Rhinolophus ferrumequinum: one gene and its partners. The protein of the gene in region 1 interacts with the protein of each later gene in a pairwise test. Links are inferred from orthologs where the notes say so. Each region holds a gene or a part of one and is shown in the gene's direction. Other genes may lie near its edges.

Region 1 (7,587 bases):
TCATGACTTTTGTTTTACATGAGTTAGAACTTCTTTCCTTTTAAAGGCTAAATAATATTCCACTCTATGTGTATACCACATTTTATGTACCCATCAGTGGACACCAGGGTTGCCTCTACCTGTTGATTATTGCAAATAATGCTACTACAAATGTGAATATGCAAATATCTCTTTGGGTCCCTGATTTCAATTACTTTGGGTACATACTCAGAAGTGGAATTGTTGGATCAAATAGTAATTCTGTATTTAATATTTTGAGGAAAAACAGTACTGTCTTTCACAGCAGATGCACCATTTTATACTCCCTCCAGCTGGCAAAGCCATGGGTTTTTTTTTTACCTCCCACCACAAATCTAGTCGGTCTTCTCTGGCAGCAAAGCTGCTTGTTTTCTTGGCTAGCGCTACCCACTGATAAAACTACAGTTCTGGACGACAGGGCAGTAAAAAAGCAGTCTCAGGCAGAAGGTCATAGACATCTATTGTTCCTCCTAGAATTTCTAGAAGTTTTTCAAGAACAGATGTTTCTCAAATTGTTGTCTATTATTAATAGTCTAGTGCCCTGAAATGGTTGTTTTAGACAATTTTGTCCAGTATTATACCTGTTTTGTGTGCAGAGGAATTGTTGACCATATCACATAGCCATAACTGAAAGTCTCTTCCAGTTTCTTTTTAAGTAGGAACTTGTATTAGTCATGACATTTAAATATCATATAAAAGAAATCCAACTGAATTAGTTAGAACTTTTAGAATTTTGAGTCACAGAAAACACCCAATACAAACTGGATTAAACAGTGCAGGACATTTATGGCTCACAATTCTACGTAGTGTATAGGTTAGTCTATAGGTCAAACAGGTGAGATTTGATAGTGCAGCTCTAATGATGCCACCAAACACAAGGTTCCTCTCCTTTCCAGCACTCATTTGACAGTATTGACTTCATCTTTAGTCTCTACAGGTGCCTCTCCCCTGAACCCTATCCCTTTAGGCTTTCCTCTTGAAGAAACAAAATAGTTGCTACATTTTCAGACTTCATATACTTACACCATACCAGAAGAGGAAGTGTGCTGCAGTTTACTAGAAGTCCCAGCTCAAGTCTCTGGGGGGCTCATTGGTTCTGATTGGGTTGTGTGATCATCTTTGTAACTCTCAGCCACTAGAGGGAATGGTTATGTTACATGACTTAAACGGGAGGAACAAATGCTCAGGAGGCAACCAACAAATATATTCTATAACTATACAAATTAGCCCTAAATAATAATAAATAAATGCATTGGCTCACCTAGCTAGGCTCACACACTCAAAGCACTTAAAGAAGAGTCATACAAAAATCATGGCCTCTGAAACTGAAACTATAGTCTTCATGCTGCCAGCTCTTTGTGTCTCTCCCTTTCCATCCCCCACCTCTGGGCCTCATCCCTTCCTACTTCAGACAGGCTTCTTAGTGTTGTGAAGAACATGGCCAGCTGCAGTTACTTCGGTAAAAAGCTTCTTCCCCTCTCATCCCTATCCGTCTAGCAATTTCAAGCAAGGGCTCAGAAATGCACCAACTTGAGTCAGTGTCTATCTTTTGGCCCGATCAGTGTTGCCCGAGGCAGAGTAACTATCATGATGACATGCCCGTCTGAGTAGTCAGAGGACATTGTTTTGTTGCCAAAAGGGCAATAAAAAAAACTTCAAGCAATCAGAAAACAGTGGTTACCACAGACCATCTTGGTATCCAATTGTGGGAGGCTCTTGAATGTCAAGCTCAGTGGCTGAACTTTATGAGGTAGGAAATGCAGAGTGCAACGGAGAGAGAGATCTACTGTCAGTTTTGTGAGAAGCTGATCTGGGAGGTATAGTGCAGGATGGCTTACAGAGGTCAATCTAAATACGCAATGAAGTTCTAAAGAGCATTGCATGTAGGAATGGAAGGGTTTGGGAAGGACCAACGATCCCAATCGTATTTCCCCTAATAAGTTGCTAAATTTTATAAAACAAGAACACTTCAAAAGACCTCTGATTTCCAGCCATGCATTAATAGAACAATTCTTCAAGCCTTTTGTGGGGACAGAGCCCCAAAAAGCAGTTTCCAGGCTCTCGGCCTCACATAGAAAGGTGCTGGCTCAGGTAGTAAATGGCCATCGACTGTGATCAAATGGCCATCAGCTGTGGCTAGTTGGCCGTCAGCTGTAACCAGTGAGCCATTGGGCACTAATATAACTGCCGTGGCTAGGCTAGCAAAAAATGGGGGCTAGCAAGATGGTGGCTGGGCTAGCAAGAGCGGATTGCAGAGAGGTGGATGCCGCCAGTGAGAATATAGTGGTATGACTCCCCTACCTATGGCTCTGTGGGTGTTCCTTTTTCTCACCATGTCCTGCATTCTTATGTGGGGAGCGAGACCAGAGACCCCGCAGGCCGCCCCGCATGACACATGGCGTAGTCGGCAGGATCCCCTGCACGACAAATGGCGCAGTGAGCAGGGTACGGTGCCGGCCAAAGCTCTCCGAAGGGCGGTGGAGCAGTTTGTGCATATGAACACTCAGTCTTAGGAAGACCAGTAGGAGCTGCTGCCGGGGAGAGCTCGACCCCCGTGGAGGGGTGGAAAGACGTGGACGGTTCCCCAACCAGCAGAGGCCGGAGAAAGCAAAGGTCCTTGCAGCCCTGTGGTCTGGGAAGTTCTTGCTGAGGCAGCCCAGACACGGGACTTGTCCCAGGAGGAAAGGCTTGCTGAGTCCTCCGTGGGAGATGTGGGTGAGGTCAAGGTCATCCCTCACCCCCAGGACAGCCCTGGCGAATGACTGTGGACTGTGGGGAATTGCCTTCCATCCCTAATTTAATGGACCACTTGACTGTTTGGGAACATACCACCATGTAGTGGTACTGGCGGATATTTGCTTTTGTGTCTTGACCGGCCGCCATCAAGAATATGTAAGCACCTTGACTGTGAGTCGCTGTTGTTCCACCATGGTACCAAGAGGCCCAGAGAGAGTGGCAATGCCCTGAGAGCCCTGGCTGAGTCCAGGAGGTCTGGCTGTGCCCAGAGAGAGTGGCAGTGCCCTGAGAGCCCTGGCTGAGTCGAAGTCTGGCTGTGTCCAGAGAGAGTGGCAGTGCCCTGAGAGCCCTGGCTGTGCCCAGGGAGACTAGTGGTACCCTAAGAAGTCCAGGAAGTCTGGCTGTGCCCAGAAGTACTGGTGGTACCCTGAGAAACCCTGGCTGTGCCCAGAGAGCCTGGCTGTGTCCAGGAAATAGCATTCACCTCCAGGCTCCTCGCACAGGGCCCCTCACGAAAGACGCTTGTCGCGTAGATTGTGAGGCGAGACCCCGTAGGGGTGGAGTGTGGGGATAGAGCCCCAAAAAGCAGTTTCCAGGCTCTCGGCCTCACATGGAAAGGTGCTGGCTCAGGTAGTAAATGGCCATCGACTGTGATCAAATGGCCATCAGCTGTGGCTAGTTGGCTGTCAGCTGTAACCAGTGAGCCATTGGGCACTAATATAACTGCCGTGGCTACACTAGTAAAAAATGGGGGCTAGCAAGAAGATGGTGGCTGAGCTAGCAAGAGTGGATTGCAGAGAGGCGGATGCCGCCAATGAGAATATAGTAGTATGACTCCCCTACCGATGGCTCCGTGGGTGTTCCTTTTTGGCCTCACCATGTCCTGCATTCTTATGTGGGGAGCGGGACCAGAGACCCCACAGGCCGCCCCGCACGACCCCTTTGTGCAGGATTTCCTCCAGAAACCCAGTTGTTTCCAGTCTTCCTCATGGCTCAGTTCTAGTTGCAAGCTAACCATGCTCTGGGCGGTTCTAATTCAGATGTTCCTTTGTAAATGTTGAACCAAAAAGGGCGATGGAAGACAGCAGTCCTGCTGTTACACAAGAACCAAGGACTATTCCTTTTTCAGCACCCACTTTGGGAATTCTGAAGAAGGTCCCGACAGTTTTATGTAAATCTCTCCTTAAAGACCCACAGCGCTTGCTTTAACAACCTCCCTCTCCCTCCAGTGCAGGAGTCCCCACCCCAAGCAAAAGATGCCCCACCCAGCCCAAGGCCGGGAAGATGTCCCACCCAGCCGCAGGCTGGGCCGGCCTCCTAGGCTGGTTTAACTGGTTAGGACAACAGAAGCCCGCTGGCACAAAAGGTCTGAACTTCAGTAGCTGAGGAACAGGCTTGCCACAGCATGGAGACGAAAGGTATTTCCTTTTTCAAGATCACCACAGGTAGCGCCCCCAAACCACCTACGCGGACAGTATTTGCTTGGGGTAGGTGTATGTCCCACCCAGTCCCCCAAGACCAGGAACTGCGCAGGCTCCCACAGAGCGCTAGCGCGGCGCGTTCTCTCGCGCTCCCTCAGTCTCCTCAGCGAGCTACTGGGCCGAAGGAGGCGCGGTTCTTCCTGGGTGTTGTAGTATACTTCCTCGACGAAGTGCCCTCCTGTAGGTTGGGCGCTTGGGTTTTCGAGAACTACGCCTCCCAGTGTGCCCCGCGCGACGGCACAGGGCGTTTACCCTCGTCGGCCTTAGCCGTCAACGCACAGAAGAGGACCCGGGAAGCCGGCTGCGGCGGGAGGAGGGAATGCGCTTGCGCGCTGGGCCGGCTCGTCTTGTTCTGTCCCAATCATTGTAAACAGGCGGAGGCTGGGGCGGGTTGGGAATGGGGCTCCCAAGGCCGGTCTGGGGCGCAGCGCAGGAGGCGGCTACGGTGGCTGCGGTGGCAGCGTGAACGCGAGGAGGAGGTGGCTGTGGCGGGGGCGGCCGGTCGCGCGGCGGCGGGCTCAGGTTGGTAGCGGTCAGCGGTGGCGTGCGGGGTCGCAGCCTTGCCAGTCGCGTGTCCGGAGAGCCCTCTCCGCAGCCGCGTCTGTATCTGGCAGCGTGCTGGGCTGGGCGCTAGCCGCACGCCGGGCTGGAGTTGGGGGTGGGGGGCGTGGCTGCCCCACTGCGGGTTCATAGCCCGCAGGCTTCTCTTCAGTTCTCGCCCCCTTCGCTGTGCGTTCCTCCCACTTGCCAGCCGGGCCTCCCTCATGGCAGCCGCATTTGTGATTTGGTGCTCCTGGGGTCGGGAGGAGGGGAGTCAGGAACAGAACCCCTCCCTCCTTGGGGTTCCAGGCCTCAGGGCAGTTCTGGGGCACACCGGAACGGAGGAGAGGACTGTCTTTTATATAACCGCTATTTTCTAATCGCATCCGGAATATTGACCCGTCTCTAGTGCTTGCCCAGTGGACTAGGAACACGCTTTTGATGTTTCCCACCGCTGGCATGGAAGCAGTGGGGCTCCTTTGGGTGCTGCGGTCCTTAGTTCAGGTTTCAGTGGGAATGGACGGACAGTCTGGGGTTCAGAATTCCTTTCACAGCGCACTTTCAAGTATGCTTGTACCAAAATGCTGTTATTGAGGTCAGCTTTTTTTTTTTTTTTTTAAATCGTTGTGTGAGTGAAACAGGTTTTGCAAAATATTTCACATCTCAGTCTTATCTAAAGTGATCATGCTGTTTCAAGTTTGGGGATTCATTACTACAGAGCCTCCCTCTTGAGCAAGCATCAGGATTCCCGTAGGGCCTAAAAGAGTTCTAGATAATAATTAAAATGTTAACTCGAGATAGTTTGAATGTGCGTGTCAAAGAAGTACAGTCGTTTGGACGTTGAGTTAACACACCATCTAGCCTCATTAGAAAAGTTATCACTGAATTTTTTGTTTAGTGGAGTGGTCATGTTCAAATGCTGGAGCACTTTGAGTAGCATTCCGTCATACTTGGCAGCTATTCACAAAATATTTAAGTGGTGATAAGCAACAGGCCCACTTTTGGTTTGGTGGTCACGGAGGCAGCACTTTTAAATGGGACTGTGAATGAGAAAGGTAACCTCACTTTCTGCCTTTGGAGTTATTTTGGTGATTTGATTATTACTTTCTGAGTATCTTGCTGAAGATGAGTAATTGCCATAAGCTGTATTGGCAGTAGTAGATGTAGGAAGGAAGTAGAGTGGTTCCCACTTTTCATAAGTGACCCATAAATTTATGTAGGGTAGGTTAGTTTAACAGTAACAGTTGAGAATTCTTTAAACAAAGTACCTTCAAGCAATGTGACATAACTTAAATGCTATCTCTTCAGAATAGTATTTCTCATTTTAGATCTGGGAGGGACCATTTCTCCCCTCATTTAGAAAAACAGAAGTGGTATAAAAAAAACACATATTAACTTTAATTTCTATTTGCACAGTTGTATGCTTGACCAGGAGAGGTTGGGTCCCGAACGTAACCCAAAAGTATGTTCTTTCTTTTCTGAAAGAAAAATTCCAAGAGAAACTTATGTTAGTTTACAAGGAGACAATAAAGAAAAATGCAGGTCATTTAGTGTAGAGGAATTACTTGTAGCAGGTACTGTGCCAGGAGATGAGGACTTACAAATGGATAAGGCAGTAGCCTGCCTTCAGGGTGGTAAGACTTTATCTCTTACTTGAAATGTCAACAAGTACAATATGTTTTTAAGATTGCTTTGATTGGAGAAAGTATGCGGATACAGTGGGTGTAGAAATGAGGAAGTGGTCAGTTTCTTAAGGAAGAGAAGGAGAGACTGAGGAAGGGGCAGTAGTAAGGAGACAGCGTGTAGAGGAGGGGATGAAAACAACAGGTATACATGCATAGAAAGGTGGCCATTTAGGTAGAAGGAACAGTGCCAGCAAAAGCACAGGAGTCTAAACTTACACAATGAGTTGTAGGATCCGCAGGTGTAACCAGCAAGAATGTAGGGTGGTGGCAAGACATGAAACTGGGGAGGTAGGCAGAGACCAAATTATGGATAGTCTTGTATACAGTAGAAGTAATTTCAGCTTTACCTTGTAAGCACATAGGAGTCATTGAGACTGGATAAACAAGAGAGGCCTAAGCCAGCCCCATCCATTTCCACTCCCTGATGTGTTAAGTATTATATCAGGTGCTTTATAGTCTATGTCCTTTAACTTAAGGAAGGCTTAGGCATGACTGAGGAAGAAAATGGGGAGAAAGCAACTTAAGGCAGAGGGAAAGTGGGACATAATTAGAGAGAGCATGGTACACTTTTAAGAATGGGAAGCTCTCCACAGCTATAGCGTTGAGTTAATTATAAATACTGGGATTATGGTAAGTAGCAGAAGATGAGGCTGCGCAGATAGATCCTTCAAATGTTGCATGCTATTCTAAGGATGGTAGACGTTTTTTCCTGTAGATAATAATAGAATATATGAATTTTAATCAGGAAAGAGTCATAATAAGGTTTATTTTAGAAAGGTCATTCTGCTATTGTATAGATTTCAGAAGAGATAGAGGAACAATAAGGCAGGATGCAGAAAGACTGCTTAGGAGTTTTTGTAATACTTGAGGTGACAGATAAGGGCCTAAACAAAGGTAGTGTCAGTGGAGATACAGAGGATTAGGTTAATAACACAAATATTTAGAAGGTAGAAGTCATAGGATTCAGTAACAATTGGATTTGGGGAGTGAGAAATAGTAGGGTAAAATGACTTGGATTTTCATTTGGGTGATTGAATAAACAATAGTAATGGAATAAACAATGAGATGGAATTCTGGAAGAGGTCCATATTTGGGGAGGAATAGTATTTTAGCTTTTGGATATACGG
Region 2 (7,837 bases), on another chromosome or scaffold:
GTGCTGGTTCTCCAGATACCAGCCTGGGGAAGACACCTCACAGTCCATCTTGGCCTTAGTGCTCAGCTTGAGAAGTACCTCCTCAGGGGTGGCTGGATGGCTCAGGTGGTTAGAGCACGAGCTCTTAACAACAAGGTTGCGGGTTCAATTCCCACATGGGATGGTGGGCTGTGCCCCCTGCAACTAAGATTGAAAACATCGACTGGACTTGGAGCTGAGCTGTGCCCTCCACAACTAGATTGAAGGACAATGACTTGGAGCTGATGGGCCCTGGAGAAACACACTGTTCCCCAATATTCTCCAATAAAAAAAAGAAGTACTTCATCCAGGAAGCCTGCCATGACTCCACCCCTGTGCCCAGATTTTCAAATTCCAAGATGGAACTCTCTGCTGTGTAATGTACTAGCCTCTTTCTCCCCTGCACCCAGTGACCTGTGAGCTCCACAAGGATAGAAACCCCCTTTGATTCATAGGGCCTGTCTCAGAGTGGGTGCTCAGGAAATATTTGTTGAACAAATCCATGAAATACAACACAGAAAAGATGCATGGAAAGGTGAATAGGTGAGTAAATGCAAGGTATTCTCTCAATGTCAATGATTTAATGTTGTTTGTGTTAAAGATGATATCTCTTTAAAGACCATGTGCCTTTCCCACCTGCTCCCCACCCCCAGCGCTGTTCCCCCTGCATCACACTAGCTCCGAGCTCCTGCTAAGCCAGCGCCCCAGGACACAGTCTCCTTCCAGCGGCCATCATGATCAGCCACCTGGATCTCATCAGTCATGATGAGATGTTCTCCCACAACTACAAAATCCAGGAGACCATGGTCCAGCAGTGCCTGCAGCTGGAGGGAAAGATGGTTAGTAGGGTAACATTGATGAGGGGAACATTGATGACTCGCTCATTGGTGGAAATGCCTCCACTGAAGACCCCGAGGGCGAAAGAACAGGAAAGCACAGTGGTCTCTGGTGTTGATAATTGTCATTTGCAGGAAACCAGCTTCACAAAAGAAGCCTACAAGAAGTACATCAAAGACTACATGAAATCAATCACAGGGAAACTTGAAATACACAGACCAAAAAAGAGTAAAACCTTTTGTGACAGGGGATGCAGAATAAATCAAGCACTTTCTTGCTAATTCCAAAAACTACCAGTTCTTTATTGGGGAAAACACGAATCCAGATGACGTGGTTGCTCTGCTGGACTACTGTGAGGATAGTGGGACCTCATATGTGATTTTCTTTGAGGATGGTTTAGAGAGTTAAAAAAATAATGCTAACAGAGTTGGTGGTTTGGATCCATCACTTGTCATCGTAACTGGAGGCTGCTTTACATCCACACACCAAAGCTGGTACAAACAGGACTGGTGTTATCTTGAGCTCATCGTTTATTTTGACCTTGATTTATTTGCAGCTGAGGCATTGTTTTTAAGAAAAACATTCAGGCAGGTTGTCTAAAAATAAAATGCATTTAAACTAAAAAAAAAAATTTTAAAATATAATAAAATAAGACCACCCAGGAGAGGCTGAAATGGGAGGAAAGTCAGAAACACAACTGGAGCCATTAGTTCATTCTGGGGGGCCTGGGAGACATGTGTTTCCTGGATGAAACCATGTCCCAAACATGCCCCTTCTACCAGGCTCAGGAGCCCAAGACCCACCTTGGGAGCCCTGGGAGGAGCTGACCCAGCTGTGGGGATGAGACTCACTAGGGGGCACTCTTTCATCACACTGGCCCTGAATCCAGCAGCCACCAAAACCTGCCCTGGGCTCTTCTCTACAATAAGCCGTGCAAACCAAGGGCTTGCACATTCTCTGCAGCCTCTTGCTAAGAGCAGAGGGTCTTTCCAAGCACATTGGCACATTCACCAAATCAGTACTCACTTCACAAGGAAGCTGTGCAGAAAAGGCAGGTGTCTGGGGTCACATTAATATTGCAAACCAATCTTCCCTTCTTTACTACCTCAAAGATACCAGTTCCTAGCATTGGAACTTCCATCCCAATGTCTAGGACTTCCTGTGAATTTGCTACCTGCTCCAGATTCTGGGGGGCTTCCTATTCCCCATAACCTATCAAAGGAAGTGTCCAGGGAAAACTGGGAGGATTTGGCAACTTGCAGTCTTTCTTCAATATTGCCATCGTGACCCTGGAACCCCTCCTTCAACAAGCAACCATTTGGGAAATAAGAAGACCATTCCCTTTCCAGCTCTATAGGAAGGAGCTGCGAGAGTCCAGCTCAGAACTCACCTTCATATTCCTGTTGGGTACAGTGAGACACAGCGGCAGGGCCAGGCCTGATCCCAGGTCCAGGCTAAGGAGGGAAGGGGTGTGGGTGCCTGGATCCCTTGCTAAGCCCTGTACACACCTATGATGCAGCCACACCCCTGGGAGCTGTACTTTCCAGAGCAAAGGCATCAAGCCTGGCTTACTCTGAGGATTGGGTCACCTCTGCATCTTTCCTGAGCAGGATTCTAGACCCAGCCAGCCACACTGTCATCTGGGAAGAATCATTACCTGCAGGGGGAAAGAGCAATGTGGATGGCGAGAGACAAAGCTGGAAGGAAGAAAACATTAGCTCACTAGGCAAACCTTCTTCCCCTACTTTAAGTGAAGACGGTGTATGTGCTAGCCGGCTGCCCAGACCAGTGCCTACCTGTGCACACCTGCCTTCAGCTCACCTGAGCTGTGGTGACCCTCTCACCCAACTACCCTGCAAAGCTGGCTATGGCTGCTAGTTGAGGCAGGCTCCACTGAGGCCTCGGACCCTGTCCTGCCAAGGAGGCCCTGCCCTCCATCCTCCTTGCAGAGAAGAGGAAAAAAGAGAAGAAAAGTGTGTATGAATTTCCCATTCAGGTTTCAGGATCCCTCTCCCGCTTCTGTTGCTCTGGGACACAGAGGTGAGTAGTCACGAGGGCCTATTTATGTCTGCAGCAGACTTGCCTACTGCAAGATGCATCTCCTTGACTCTAGCCGCCTTGGGCCTGCCCCTTTCTGCAACCATCTCAAGAATGTTTGTCAAACGTTTTGTCAGGTGTCCCCTAAATGCCCCAAAGACAGAACTGTACCATGTGACCTTTCCCCTGATTTTGCAACCCCAGAGTGCACATGGCCACACCCACTCTCACACCTCCACTAAGTGATTCCAAGGAGAATGCTGTCCACAGGGCAAGGCCATCTGGGGCCCTCTTCTCTCTTCCTTTTCATTTCTCAAATTCCTACCTAGTGTGTCTAGCTGACACAGCGGCATATTGATCATAGTTTCCCTTTGTAACATGGTCCTTGGATGGCCAAATATCCCTTGGCTCAACACAAATGACTGATTTTCTCATTTGTCTCAGAGCTGGTCACTATTTGAAATGCAATGTTTGGCTTCCAAGTAAATTACACACATATACACAAATTTTGGGGGAGGGCCTTATTAAAAATTAACAGTGTCCCTGGATAGTAAATAGCTCTTTGAACTTACAAAGTTTTCTTGTCCCTGGTCCCCTCCAGTGGGTTTGGGAATTGCAAACGCCATGGTGAGGGGAGGAGATGACCTTCTTAAGGGTGGAAGTAGGCCCTGACTCTCAACTTGGACAGCAGCCTGACTCCACCCCCACCCCACCTCACCCCCGCCACACACCCACTGGGAGGTGTTGGAGGCCCAGTGTGATTAGGGCTCAGGAATGGCACACAGAGCTGTGGGAGGAAGAGGACAGCAGATGGGGAGGCTGTGTCAGAACACGCTTTCTGAAGAATGGGTTTCCATCAGCACAGATGGACCAGCCTAGTGGGAAGGTGGGGGAGGAAAGGTCCTAGAGGCAGAGGAGAAAATCGCATCCAGAGGAGAAACAGCAGGAGCAACAGAAGTGGACATAAGGGAGGGCCCCTGGCTGGCCCGAGTGTAGGAGGAAATGAAGAGACTGAAACGGAGAGAGGGCAGATGGAGAGAGGTGGGCTCCCAGGGCCTTCCCTGTCCCAGGAAGGAGCCTGGATTCTGGCGGCGGTGAAAAGGTTTTGAGAATGAGAAACTGCAGCCCAGTGATTACCTGGCTTCATCACTTACTCTCTGTGTGACCCTGGGCAAGCTAATTAACTTCTCTGAGCCTGATGTCCTCATTTATAACACAGGGATGGTAACAGAACTCCCTGGGAGGATGACTGGGAGGGCTGAATGAGAGATGACTAGGTGAAAAGCGGGTGGTGGCACCCGGTGCGATCTGCGTAAAGGGGTGCTGATCACTGCTTTCTGTTAGAGTTGGACAGTGCGCCTGGCGGAGGATGATTCAGTCAGTTAGGTGGGTCAAATTAACCAGAACATTTTCCAACCCAGATTCACACTTCCTGTGGAGGCAGGTCCTTAAAAAGCTGGTGAAGGTGTTTGTAAACAATAAAAGTGCAATTCAAAGGTTGCCGCTGCCGGTGAAAGCCGTGGGTTTTAGAGAAGAGGCTCCCTGCAGGAAGCACAGTCATCTCTTCGGCGGGGGCACGGTCCAAACTAAGCAGATAGGGACAATTTTGCAGTCCTCCCTCCCCCTGTACACACACACACACACACACACACACACAGCCCCCACCCTCACTCCCAGCCCTCTCCTGCAGCAACGCCCAGAATCCCTCAGGGACAATAGATGTACATCCCTCGGTGTCGTTCTGCCCAAAGGATGAAGGGGTGAGAGGAAGGCGCGGAGGGGGCTGGGACGATAATGCTGAGTTGGATTAATTTGTCCCCAGCAGCTCTGAAGGCAAATCGTGGCGGGAGTGGGGTAGGCGGGGAGCGGGGCGGGGAGCGGGGCGGGGAGGGGCACAGCGCGTCCTGGAGGGCCCTGGCAGCGAAGGAACGGAGCTCCGGTGTCCGCCCGGCTCCTAGCCCGCAGCGCCGCCTCCCCGGAGGAAGGCGGGGGCCAGGAGGAGGGAACGGGAGGAGGCGTAGGACCGAGGAGGGCGGCGCGCTGAGAGGTTATTTGTGGTTCGCTTTGATCCCGAGGGGGAACCTGAAACTCACATTCCTGGCATAGCAGCCGCCTCCGGCGGGGGCCGACCCTGGGGCTGCGCGCTGGACCCCGAGCGGCCAGAGCGTTGGCGACACCGCCGAGTACACACCTCCGCTGCTGAGCCGAGCGGAGCCTGGCGGGGTCGTCGGGTCTGACCGAGCCGAGCACCCGCGGGCCGCAGCGGTAAGGAAGGCTCCTCGGCGCTCGGGGAATGTGTGGGGCTGGCAGAGACGCGCAGAAGCCCGAACTCCGGCGCAGCCCGGTCTTTTCCCGGAGCCGGAGCCGGAGCCGGGTGGACCCAGCGTCCTCAGGGCGCAGTGCACCCTTTCCAGGCAGCTGCAAAGGCGGGCAAGGGCCACTCCGCCCGGGGTGCGCCGTGCCGCGTGCCTGGGGTTGGGGGTCCTTGAAGGACCACGGGTCGCCTGGGGGGCAATCTCTAGAGAAAGCTCGGTTCATGTTTTGGTCACGGGTCGGGGAGAGGGGCGCGGAATAGTGCAGGAGGTGCCGCTTCGAACTCAAGTCGTAGGACCTGGGGGTGCTGATCTGGTTAGGTGGGGGTTACAGGTGTCTTTGCTCCCAACTAGCCCAAGAATTCCTCTTTGTCTTCCTTGGAAAATACTCTCTGGAGCCACGAACTGGCTCTCACTTAGAAAGAATGCAGCCTGCCGTCCAGCCCGGTGACGTCAGCGCAGGAGCATTCGGAAAACAAAGAGGGCTGGCGAGGGAGAGAAGGAGGCGGACCCGCGACACTTAAAGACCTCCTTGGGTCACCGGCTACCGTGGTCCGCTCGCTCTAGGCGCACCAGCAGCCCCCGAGTGCTCGAGGTCCGCGGGGAGTCCGTGTAGCACGGGATCTCTGGCTGCGGCGTGATCAGACTTAGAGACAGACCCTCACTCCGGTGTTTAGGCGAGTGAGCCCAAGGAAAAGCCAGAGATGAGTGCTTGCTTAGGAAGATGGGGGTTCAGAGAGCCCGGCGCGCTAGCCCAGCCGAGGTGCACCGCAGGGATGGGGGTGGGGTGGGGGAATGCAGATTTTTAGTAGCCGCTCGGTCGAGAGGACGTGCATCGGAGGGTCTTAACCCCCACACACACGGGGTGAGAGGCCTCGAGGAGGTGTTCCCTGTTCCCAGGCAGCCTGTTTGGGAAAGGTGGCCAGGAATGTTTCCGGAAAGCTCTGCAGTGGCCCCGCTCCTCCTCGGCGGGAGTCAGCCCCACAGTGATGAATTTAGAAAATGCCCCGCGGATGAAACTCTAGGGCAAATTGATTCCTGTTTGTGTTGCCTCTGGTCGCTCTGGAGTCATGCATCTCCACTCGTCTCGTGTGTAGGGGGAGGGGACAGCATGATAGAGTGCCAGGAAGGCTGAGGACAAAGAAGCCCTCCAGATTCGTCTCCCACTCCTCAGCTCTGAGCACCTGGGAGGAGGAGGGAGTGGATTGGGAACGGCTACTCTTGTCAGTGTGCCAGACCCAAACTGCAGCAGCGCACTGAGGCTAGTTTTGTGATAGAGGAGGGGCCACATTCCTCCCACACCCCTCCCCCCATATACGCGGGACCTGTGGAGGTGTGGGTTTTCTTTGGCTTTCCCTGCATCTGTTTGGAGGTTTGTGTTGGAGGAGGCTGTGGAAAGGAAGCCTGGTGAGGCAGGCAGCCTTCCAGGCATGAGCCACTGGGAGCCCAAGGTCGGAAGGGAACACCATCCTCAGGAGATGTTATCTGCCGGCACTCACATCCCCCAGGTCCCTGCAACCAAGAGCCTCCCCCTTGCTCCCTTACTCCTCCATTCGGCTCAAGTGGCTGTTACTGATGTCGAGAAGGTGCTGAGTGCCCCTCTGCTACGGGGCTAGAGGATGATAGGGGTCTTTCCCAAGCAGTGGGGGTGGAGGTGGGGGTAAATTGTAAACTCAAAGACACCATCCATCCTTTCTTCCTTTCTTTTTCCTGGAGTGCCAGTGCAGATACTGTCAACACAGACTATCTGACTGACCCACAAACCTTAATGGGTGGCAACTTTTTGCCTCATCTCACAAAACCATTGTCCTAGTGTAGCCTCTCTTCTTTTGTCCCTTATTCACCAATTCAGGTGCATTTTCTCCTACTTCCCATTCACCTTGCAGAGTAACTGCCAAGGTCATCCCATGACAGGGAAGGCTTGGCAGGGCAAAGGGTGGTGAGTGAGCTGTGCCAATGCTGGGGCTCAGACATGCTTCATTCTAGAGGGTACTGGGGGCCGTTTGCCTAGGGCTTCTACTGGGCTGAACTCATTCTTTATCACCTGCCAATAAACTGGGCCCCTGTCCACCCCTGGATGGGACAGTTCAGTGGTTAGATTTGAACTAGGCCTGCCCTGGAGTCTCTCATCAGGCTTTTGATAGGTGACTGACTGCAGGAGGCTGCGGTTCCTTATTGATTACTTTCTAGGTACTGGTGTCTTTCTCTAGGCCTAGTAAGTCTCCATGAATATGATTATAATGGCAACCAGGATCATTTGTCAAGGATAGTGCACCAAGATCTCAACAGCCACTGCTGCTTTTAATTTCAACTCCAGGAGGCAAGCATTCTTTTTGCTTTTCTGATGAAGAAACTGAGGCTCAGAGGTTATGTAACTTGCCTTGATCAGTAGGGGGCAGCACTGGCAGTTGAACTCAGGCTTGTGTGGCATTCTAAACCGTCCTCTTTACCATTATGCTGTAATGGAAAGTTCCCCCCTTTTCCATGTGCTCCCACTGATTGCTCTTCTTTCTTTTTCCTCCCAGGTGCCCTGGGGCCACGTGCCGCTGGCCATTGTCCAGACGGGTGTGTGCAAGCCAAGGAAGCATGAGGACGCTGGAAGACTCCTCTGGGACAGTCCTGCATCGCCTCAT
Region 3 (6,831 bases), on another chromosome or scaffold:
GAGAGCCCTTCCTTTTTCTGTCTACACTCTCTCCCAAGCAATCCCATCACCTCATGGATTTCAATGCCCTTTCTATGCTGATCGCATTCTAACCAACTGAGCCATCCAGCCACCCCTCTGGAAGCTCTCTGGAAGCTCAGCAGCAGCTCGTTGTCTTCAATCTAGTTCTGGAATGCACAGCTCTCTGGCCCACGCGGGAATCAAACCGGCAACCCTCTTGTTCAGAACTCACACTCTAACTAACTGAGCCATCTGGCTGTCCTCAGAGTAATCTTTTAAAAGCATAAGTTAATGTATGTCATTCTTCCATTTAAAATTCTCCAATAGCTTCCTATCTCACTCAGACTAAAAGCCAAATTTCCCACAGTCTCCTGACAAGGCCCCCGTTAGGATTTGGCTCCTACTCTTATCCCCCTCACTTACTCTGCTCCAGTCACTGGCCTTCTTGCTGCTCCTTAAGCCTGCCAGACACTGCCCTACCTCAATGTCTTTGCACTTGCTGGTCCCTCGTTGGGTGCGTTTTAGCCTGAGAGATCCATCTGGTTTGTTCCATTATTTCCTTCCATTTTTTTGCTCAAATATATCTGCTCGGTAAGGCTTTCCCTAACCACCCAATTTAAAATTACCTTCCCTGCTTGTCCCCCAAGCAGTTCTTACCCTCCTTCCCTGCTTGTAGCTTCACCAGAGTAATTTATTACTATTTGACATACAGTGTATTTTATGTATTTTGTTTGTTGTCCATTTCTTGCCAGTAGACTATAAGCTCCAGGAGCAGAGGGATTCTCATCTGATTGGTTTATTCTCAGTACCTGGCATATAGGCATGTAATAAATATTAATGAATGAATTCTTAATACTTCTCGTTTCTATAATGGCCATCATGATGATGATTAAAGAGTTTTGCAGTACTTAGTGTGTCTCTACCTCTAGAATAAAACTCAAGGAAGGCTGAGGTTTTGTCTTGCTCACCACTGTATCCCCAGAACTTAGTAGGTGCTCAATACATATACTTTCTGAGACGCTAATCTGATCATCTTGACCTCCTACTTCTGCCTTTAAAACCTATTGCCCTCAGAATCAAGCCTGAATCTCCTTAGCATGTCATAACCATTTTTCTCTTTACTCTCATGTCTTGACACTTTTTTCCTCCCTTCTACATTCTCTAAGATCTAGCCTTCCTTGAATATGCTGTGCTCTCTCACCTCCAGGCCTTTGTACTCTCTGCTCTCTGCTTGGAAAACTCCCCCGGACTAACTCCTACTTGTCCTTTAAAGCTCACTGAGGTCATGTCTTCTGGGAACTTTTCCAGACCCCCGAAGGCTGATCTGTGTCAGTAGGGGGTGGGTACATAGCCCATCTCTAGCTTAGTGCTGCCAGGCTTCTGCTGACATACTTGTATGATTGCTGTGTTTGGGGCAGAGAGGTTGAAGATTAGCTTAGAGAGAATGTTGATGTTGTAGAATGTAGAGTAGTGAAAATGGCGGTGGGTAAGATGGAGGTTAGGGCAACTAAAAGCCAAAGTATGGACTTCGGGTTGTCAAGACATTTTCCTCCAGGTCCAGAGATCTCTGGACCTTCTGGGCAGGAGCCAAAACCCCTTGGTTGGTCCTTCTGACTTGATTTCTCCTCCCTTTTTCTCAGGGGGTGATGTTACCATCACTGACCTACCCCTGGCCCTAGAACAGATCCAGCTCAACGTCCAGGCCAATGTGCCAGCTGGAGGCCGGGCCCAGGTCCGTGCCTTGTCCTGGGGGATTAACCAACATGTCTTCCCTGGAGACTATGACCTGGTGCTGGGGGCTGATATCGTGTATCTGGAGCCCACCTTCCCACTGCTGCTGGGGACCCTCCAACACCTGTGCGGGACCCATGGCACCATCTATCTGGCCTCCAAGATGAGAGAGGAGCATGGGACAGAGAGCTTCTTTCAGCAACTCCTGCCCCAGCATTTTCAACTGGAGCTGGCCCAGCGGGATGAGGATGAGAATGTCAACATCTATAGGGCCAGGCACAGGGAACCAAGACCTGCTTGATGTCACCTTCTGCTCCTTTGAACTCCTTGTCCTAATGAAGGAACTGCCATGTCTCCAAAGCCAGAAACATAAGGACCAAAAAGGATGGATTTCCCTTGCCTTTCTGTTTCCTCCTTCCCTCTTAGTTCCCCCAGATTCTCTTGGGCAGGTGCAAGGAGGTGCCTGCTTGCTAGGAATCCTAGAGCCCTAGCAACACTGGGTTAGAGTGCAAAGGAAGTTCCCAGCTCTTGTTCTCAGCAGAGGAAGATGGGAAGGTATCCAGGGTTTTTAGGGTGGTGGGGGGAAGTAAATGGGATGTGAGAGCAGGGGCTACAGAGAGACTATCATTGATTACTTCCTCTCCTGCTGTTGTCCTTTTATACAGAATAGATTTGCGGGGGTGGGGGGGGGGAGGATGCAGATTCTACTGGAATTTTTTTAAAAGGAAAAAAACATAAGCATTAAATATCTCTTCTGCATCCAAGGAAATCAGGCTTTTGTTGGGGGGCTGGAAGGAAGAAGCCTCAGACCACCCACTTCTTGCTTCTAGAGTCTGGTGGGCCCATGGCTCCAACTGGGTCAAGTTCTCCCGGGCCTGAAGCTGGGGATAGGCAGCAGAGCTGTCCTCTGGACTGTAACTTCATCCTTTTCGGAGCTGGGGTCCTGACCACTGAGTACTAGGTTCTTCTTCTCTTTAAGTTTCCAAGTCCTGTCAGTCCTTCTTTCCTAATGTGTTTTACCTTCAGCTCTTTTCTCTTCCCACTGTGGAACCTCTGGTTGGGGTTCTCCTTACTTAATCCTTGGGCCACATATCACCTCCTCTGGACTCCTGGACTTCAACTCTTGTGATCTTCCAAAGTCAGCTCTGCTTAGCTTCTGCTGCTGCCTGCAGAAGTAAGAGTAAGCTCCTCTGCTGGGTACTCAGTCTACCCTCTGCTTCATGTCCTACTGGTTTCCAACATGATTGCAACCTTGGACCAAATTGCGTAAGGTCTACTATTTGTTCCCTAAATCCATACCAAGATTCCCTCACTTATTTCTTCTTCTTCTCCTTCTCCTTCTCGTTCTCCTTCTCCTTCTTCTTCTCGTTCTCCTCCTCCTCCTCTTCCTCCTGCTTCTCCTTTTTTTAATGATTCCCTCCCTAGAAGGGCTATTTCTACCTGTTAAAATCTTCATTACGCTTAGCCTATATGCTGAAAAAAGCTTTTCCTGAGCCACCTGTTTGGATGTAATTTATTTCTCCCTTGACACTCTTTAACTGTTTGTTCATCTAATGGGACTTAACTTGTCTTGTGTGGTCATATGTCTGCTCCCTATTTTTTTCACCATTAGATTACCTTGGAGGGTAGGGCTGTGGTTTACTTACTTATAATTCCCTGAAGCCTAGCACAGTTCCTGGCACAACGTAGGTGTTCAGTAAATATTTTGTTCATTCAACAAATATTTATTGGGTTTATTGGAGGGATTGCACCACGACCTCCTTAGGCAGCCTCTGGCAAATTTCTGAACCTACCCACCTACCTCACAATTTTGTCTTGAGTCATAAGTCGATAATAAATATGAAAGCGCATTTGAAGTAAACAAAGTGTCACCACATGCCTTGTACTGTTATTTTGTGACGGCTTTCTCTCATGGTTTCCTGTTTCACCTGTGGGGAGGTAATTCCTTCCCGAAATGTAGTTTCAATAAACCAAGTAGGGGACGCGAATGCGCTCCCTCCGACCAGCAGGTGGCACTGTCCCGATCGGGCGCGTCGCAGTGGAGAGGTTTGGCCCCGCCGCCACGCCGTAGGCCCGTGGCCTCACCCGTGGGCCCGCGGGCTGTAGTGTCCGGCGGCCGGAGAAATGTCGCTGCTTCGGTCCCTGCGTCTCTGCCAGGTAGCACGGACCGGGAGCTGCTCGGTGAGGGGTTTTGGCCCTAGCACCGACCTGCCTTCCTTTAAGGTCTCCCGTGCACTCCTACCTCTGACCCCCTTTCGACTCCATCCCACCTTTCCCCCTACCTCTTTGCCTCTCCGTGGTCCAGCCCCCGCGCGCTGCCTTTCCCCCAACCCCGGGGACCCACCCTGTCCTAAGGTCGCCTCCCTGCCGACGTGCCTTTCACCCTTGGAGCACCTGGCTGCTTCATCCCTTTATTCTTACCCCCTCCCCCCAGGCAGGATCCCTGCTTCAGTCGCCCCAGCCGCGGCACACATTTCATGCTGGGCCCTGGCTGTCCTCCTCGGCCTCCAACAAGGAGCTCCTCATGAAGCTGCGGCGAAAAACGGGCTATTCCTTTGTTAACTGCAAGAAAGCTCTGGAGACTTGTGGCGGGAATCTCAAACAGGTGTGGGGGAGGCGGGAGAGGGGGGCAGGGAGGGGTACTAGGGCCCAGTCCCAGTCTTTTAGGGATGTCACGCTGGGGAGCACAGAAGTCAGGTCTGCTGTCCGGTGACTCAACGGCAGACCTCTAGATAGGATTCTCACTTAAATGACCTCAGCCTTTGACTATTATTTAGAAGCAGTTGACTCAGGATCTCAGGGCTAACAAACCCTATTCCATGCAAAACTGCTATGTTGTTACGTGCTGCTTAGAGCTGAAAGGGCATGTTTGAACTTTGGAGTCAGACGGACCAGGACTCATCCTGTGACCGTGGACCACTTCTTGCTTCTAGAGAGTCTGGTGGGCCCACCTTACTTAATCTTGCAGTGTTGCATTGTTCTTGTATATATAAATGAAAATACCACTATCTGCTCCATAAGGTTGTTGTGAAGATTAAACTTATCCAAAGCAACAGACACAATGCTTGGTATTTGGCCTTTCATGGTAGGCTGCCAGTAAATGATAGATTACTTCAGTTTCTATTATGGGATTGAGGGGAAGCAGAAAGAGTCAGGGGATTTGAACATATTTTAGAGCCCCATTCAGTTCTAAATTCTCTGACTTTGTCATCTGCCCTTTTTCTTTTCAATTTATAGGCAGAGAGCTGGCTTCATGAGCAGGCCCAGAAAGAGGGCTGGAGCAAAGCTGCCAAGCTTCATGGGAGGAAAACTAAAGAAGGCCTGATTGGGCTGCTGCAGGAAGGAAACACGACTGTGTTAGTAGAGGTGAGTTGTCAGAAGTTCAGACACCAGGAACTTCGGGGTAAGGATTTGTGGTAGACTCTTTGCATTCTTAAAGAAGAGACGTTTGAGAGCCACAAAGGGTATTTGAATTAAACCTGTGAGATCACAGTTATTAGTTGTGGATTCATTTAAGTTCAGAAATACACAGGTATGTTGATGAGAAAAGGCCTAGCAGTCTAGAATATTACTCCTAAATGTGAGCCTAGTGTAGCCTTACACCTTGTCACTGATTCTTTCCTGGAACAGTTAGATTTTAAAGCTAAGAATTATATTAATTAATTAGTTGATGGATAGAGAGTAGCTGTTTTAGAGATTTGGGGGCCCCAATTGTTGAAGAATCAGATGTGGATTAGAGTGAGATTGGGGTGGATTAGAGTTTAAAGAGAAGGAGATAAATAAACTGAGCAAAAGTAGTTTGTAGTTGGGGGTGAATGAGGTATTATGGCATGCAGCCACAGGCACGTGGTGAAGTTGTAGTGAGTCTTTTGGGGACCTTACGGAACCATCTTCTGAATGTGCACGTCATTGCTAACTCAGGGACCGAGCAGGAATCACTTCATTTAGTTTCTGGCCTCAAACTAGGAGAGGAACTGCAGCTTTAAAATTCTGGGGTCATTTATTTCTGCTTTGTTGAGTCTACAGCTTGTTCTATCAATACCTTGGTTTACTCTCCAACTTAAGGCACTTTTGGAAACTATCAGTAAACAGCTTATATAGCAACTTCAATTTGTTCCCACAGGTAAACTGTGAGACAGATTTTGTTTCAAGAAATATAAAATTTCAACAATTAGTCCAGCAAGTAGCCTTTGGAGCCATGTTGCATTGTCAGAGCCTAAAGGATCAACTCTCCACATACAGTAAAGTGAGTTTTGCTGTCTCCAACATGCTGGATTTGTTACCCCCTACCTCCCTTAGAGTCTTTGCTATTCCCTTTTTTCAGACATTCTGATGCCTCACTTCCTTACTTCATGTCTCTGCTTAAATGTTACCTCTTTGGAGAGGCATACCCTTCTTCCTGTGGCTCTGTCCCCTTATTTTACTTCATTTAAAAATCTTTTGCTGTTGTACTTATATATTACATTTTTATTTATTTGTATGTTCTCTGTCTTCCCCAATAGAACACAAGCTGCATGAGGCAGGGAAATTTGCCTTTTCACTACTGTGTTTCTGATGAAAGAGAAGTGGGCCCAGCCCTTGGTTGAGGCTTGGTAACTGTGTGTTAAATGAATGAATGAATGCCACTTGGGTGGAGTCAGTCAAATCATGTGCAGATTTGTATTTAGAAATCTAGAATGGCCTGAGGTAAGGATTCCTAAATAAAGGTACTGTGAAAGGCACAATTTAGGAGAATAATCATAGTCTTGTCCATAGAAAGATCAAGGAAGGAGTTATATCAGTTTGCCTTTGATTCAACCTTATTTTCAGGCAAAAATGAACCAACTACTTACACAACTTTTTTGTGTTTAGTACCACCCTTTTTCTCCTATTTCTCCTTTTCTTGAGATCTCATGGTAAAAGTTACTGGCATTAAATAGTCACATTACATGGAAAACTGTGTTGAGATGATTTCTTAGAATTGTATTGAGTGGATGTGTCACTTGAACTAGAAATCTTAATCTTGACTTTGCCATTAATTCTATTTGCAACCCTGAGCCATTCACTTTCCTGTGCTTTTCTGTTTCATTATCTGTAACAGGGAACTTTGGTTCCTTCTAG

Evidence for each region. The genes of interacting proteins can lie anywhere in the genome.
Region 2: the proteins of RALBP1 (region 1) and AMOTL2 interact in binary tests that used the Homo sapiens proteins (3 or more experiments, as listed by UniProt). The two-hybrid records come from large-scale screens. The link is inferred for Rhinolophus ferrumequinum from reciprocal best matches to the Homo sapiens genes RALBP1 and AMOTL2.
Region 3: the proteins of RALBP1 (region 1) and TSFM interact in binary tests that used the Homo sapiens proteins (3 or more experiments, as listed by UniProt). The two-hybrid records come from large-scale screens. The link is inferred for Rhinolophus ferrumequinum from reciprocal best matches to the Homo sapiens genes RALBP1 and TSFM.

Annotation. Positions count from the first base shown.
Region 1 is NC_046302.1:8,544,068-8,551,654, reverse strand, and holds the start of RALBP1 (ralA-binding protein 1), read left to right. Parts: upstream 1-4,581; 5' UTR 4,582-4,757; intron 4,758-7,587. UniProt on the Homo sapiens protein: Multifunctional protein that functions as a downstream effector of RALA and RALB. As a GTPase-activating protein/GAP can inactivate CDC42 and RAC1 by stimulating their GTPase activity.
Region 2 is NC_046300.1:34,510,731-34,518,567, reverse strand, and holds the start of AMOTL2 (angiomotin-like protein 2), read left to right. Parts: upstream 1-4,818; 5' UTR 4,819-5,157; intron 5,158-7,729; 5' UTR 7,730-7,790; coding exon 7,791-7,837. UniProt on the Homo sapiens protein: Regulates the translocation of phosphorylated SRC to peripheral cell-matrix adhesion sites. Required for proper architecture of actin filaments.
Region 3 is NC_046293.1:56,677,964-56,684,794, forward strand, and holds the start of TSFM (elongation factor Ts, mitochondrial), read left to right. Parts: upstream 1-3,812; 5' UTR 3,813-3,855; coding exon 3,856-3,954; intron 3,955-4,165; coding exon 4,166-4,336; intron 4,337-4,968; coding exon 4,969-5,097; intron 5,098-5,854; coding exon 5,855-5,977; intron 5,978-6,831. Other genes in the region: EEF1AKMT3 (EEF1A lysine methyltransferase 3), read left to right, coding at 1,641-2,032. UniProt on the Homo sapiens protein: Associates with the EF-Tu.GDP complex and induces the exchange of GDP to GTP. It remains bound to the aminoacyl-tRNA.EF-Tu.GTP complex up to the GTP hydrolysis stage on the ribosome.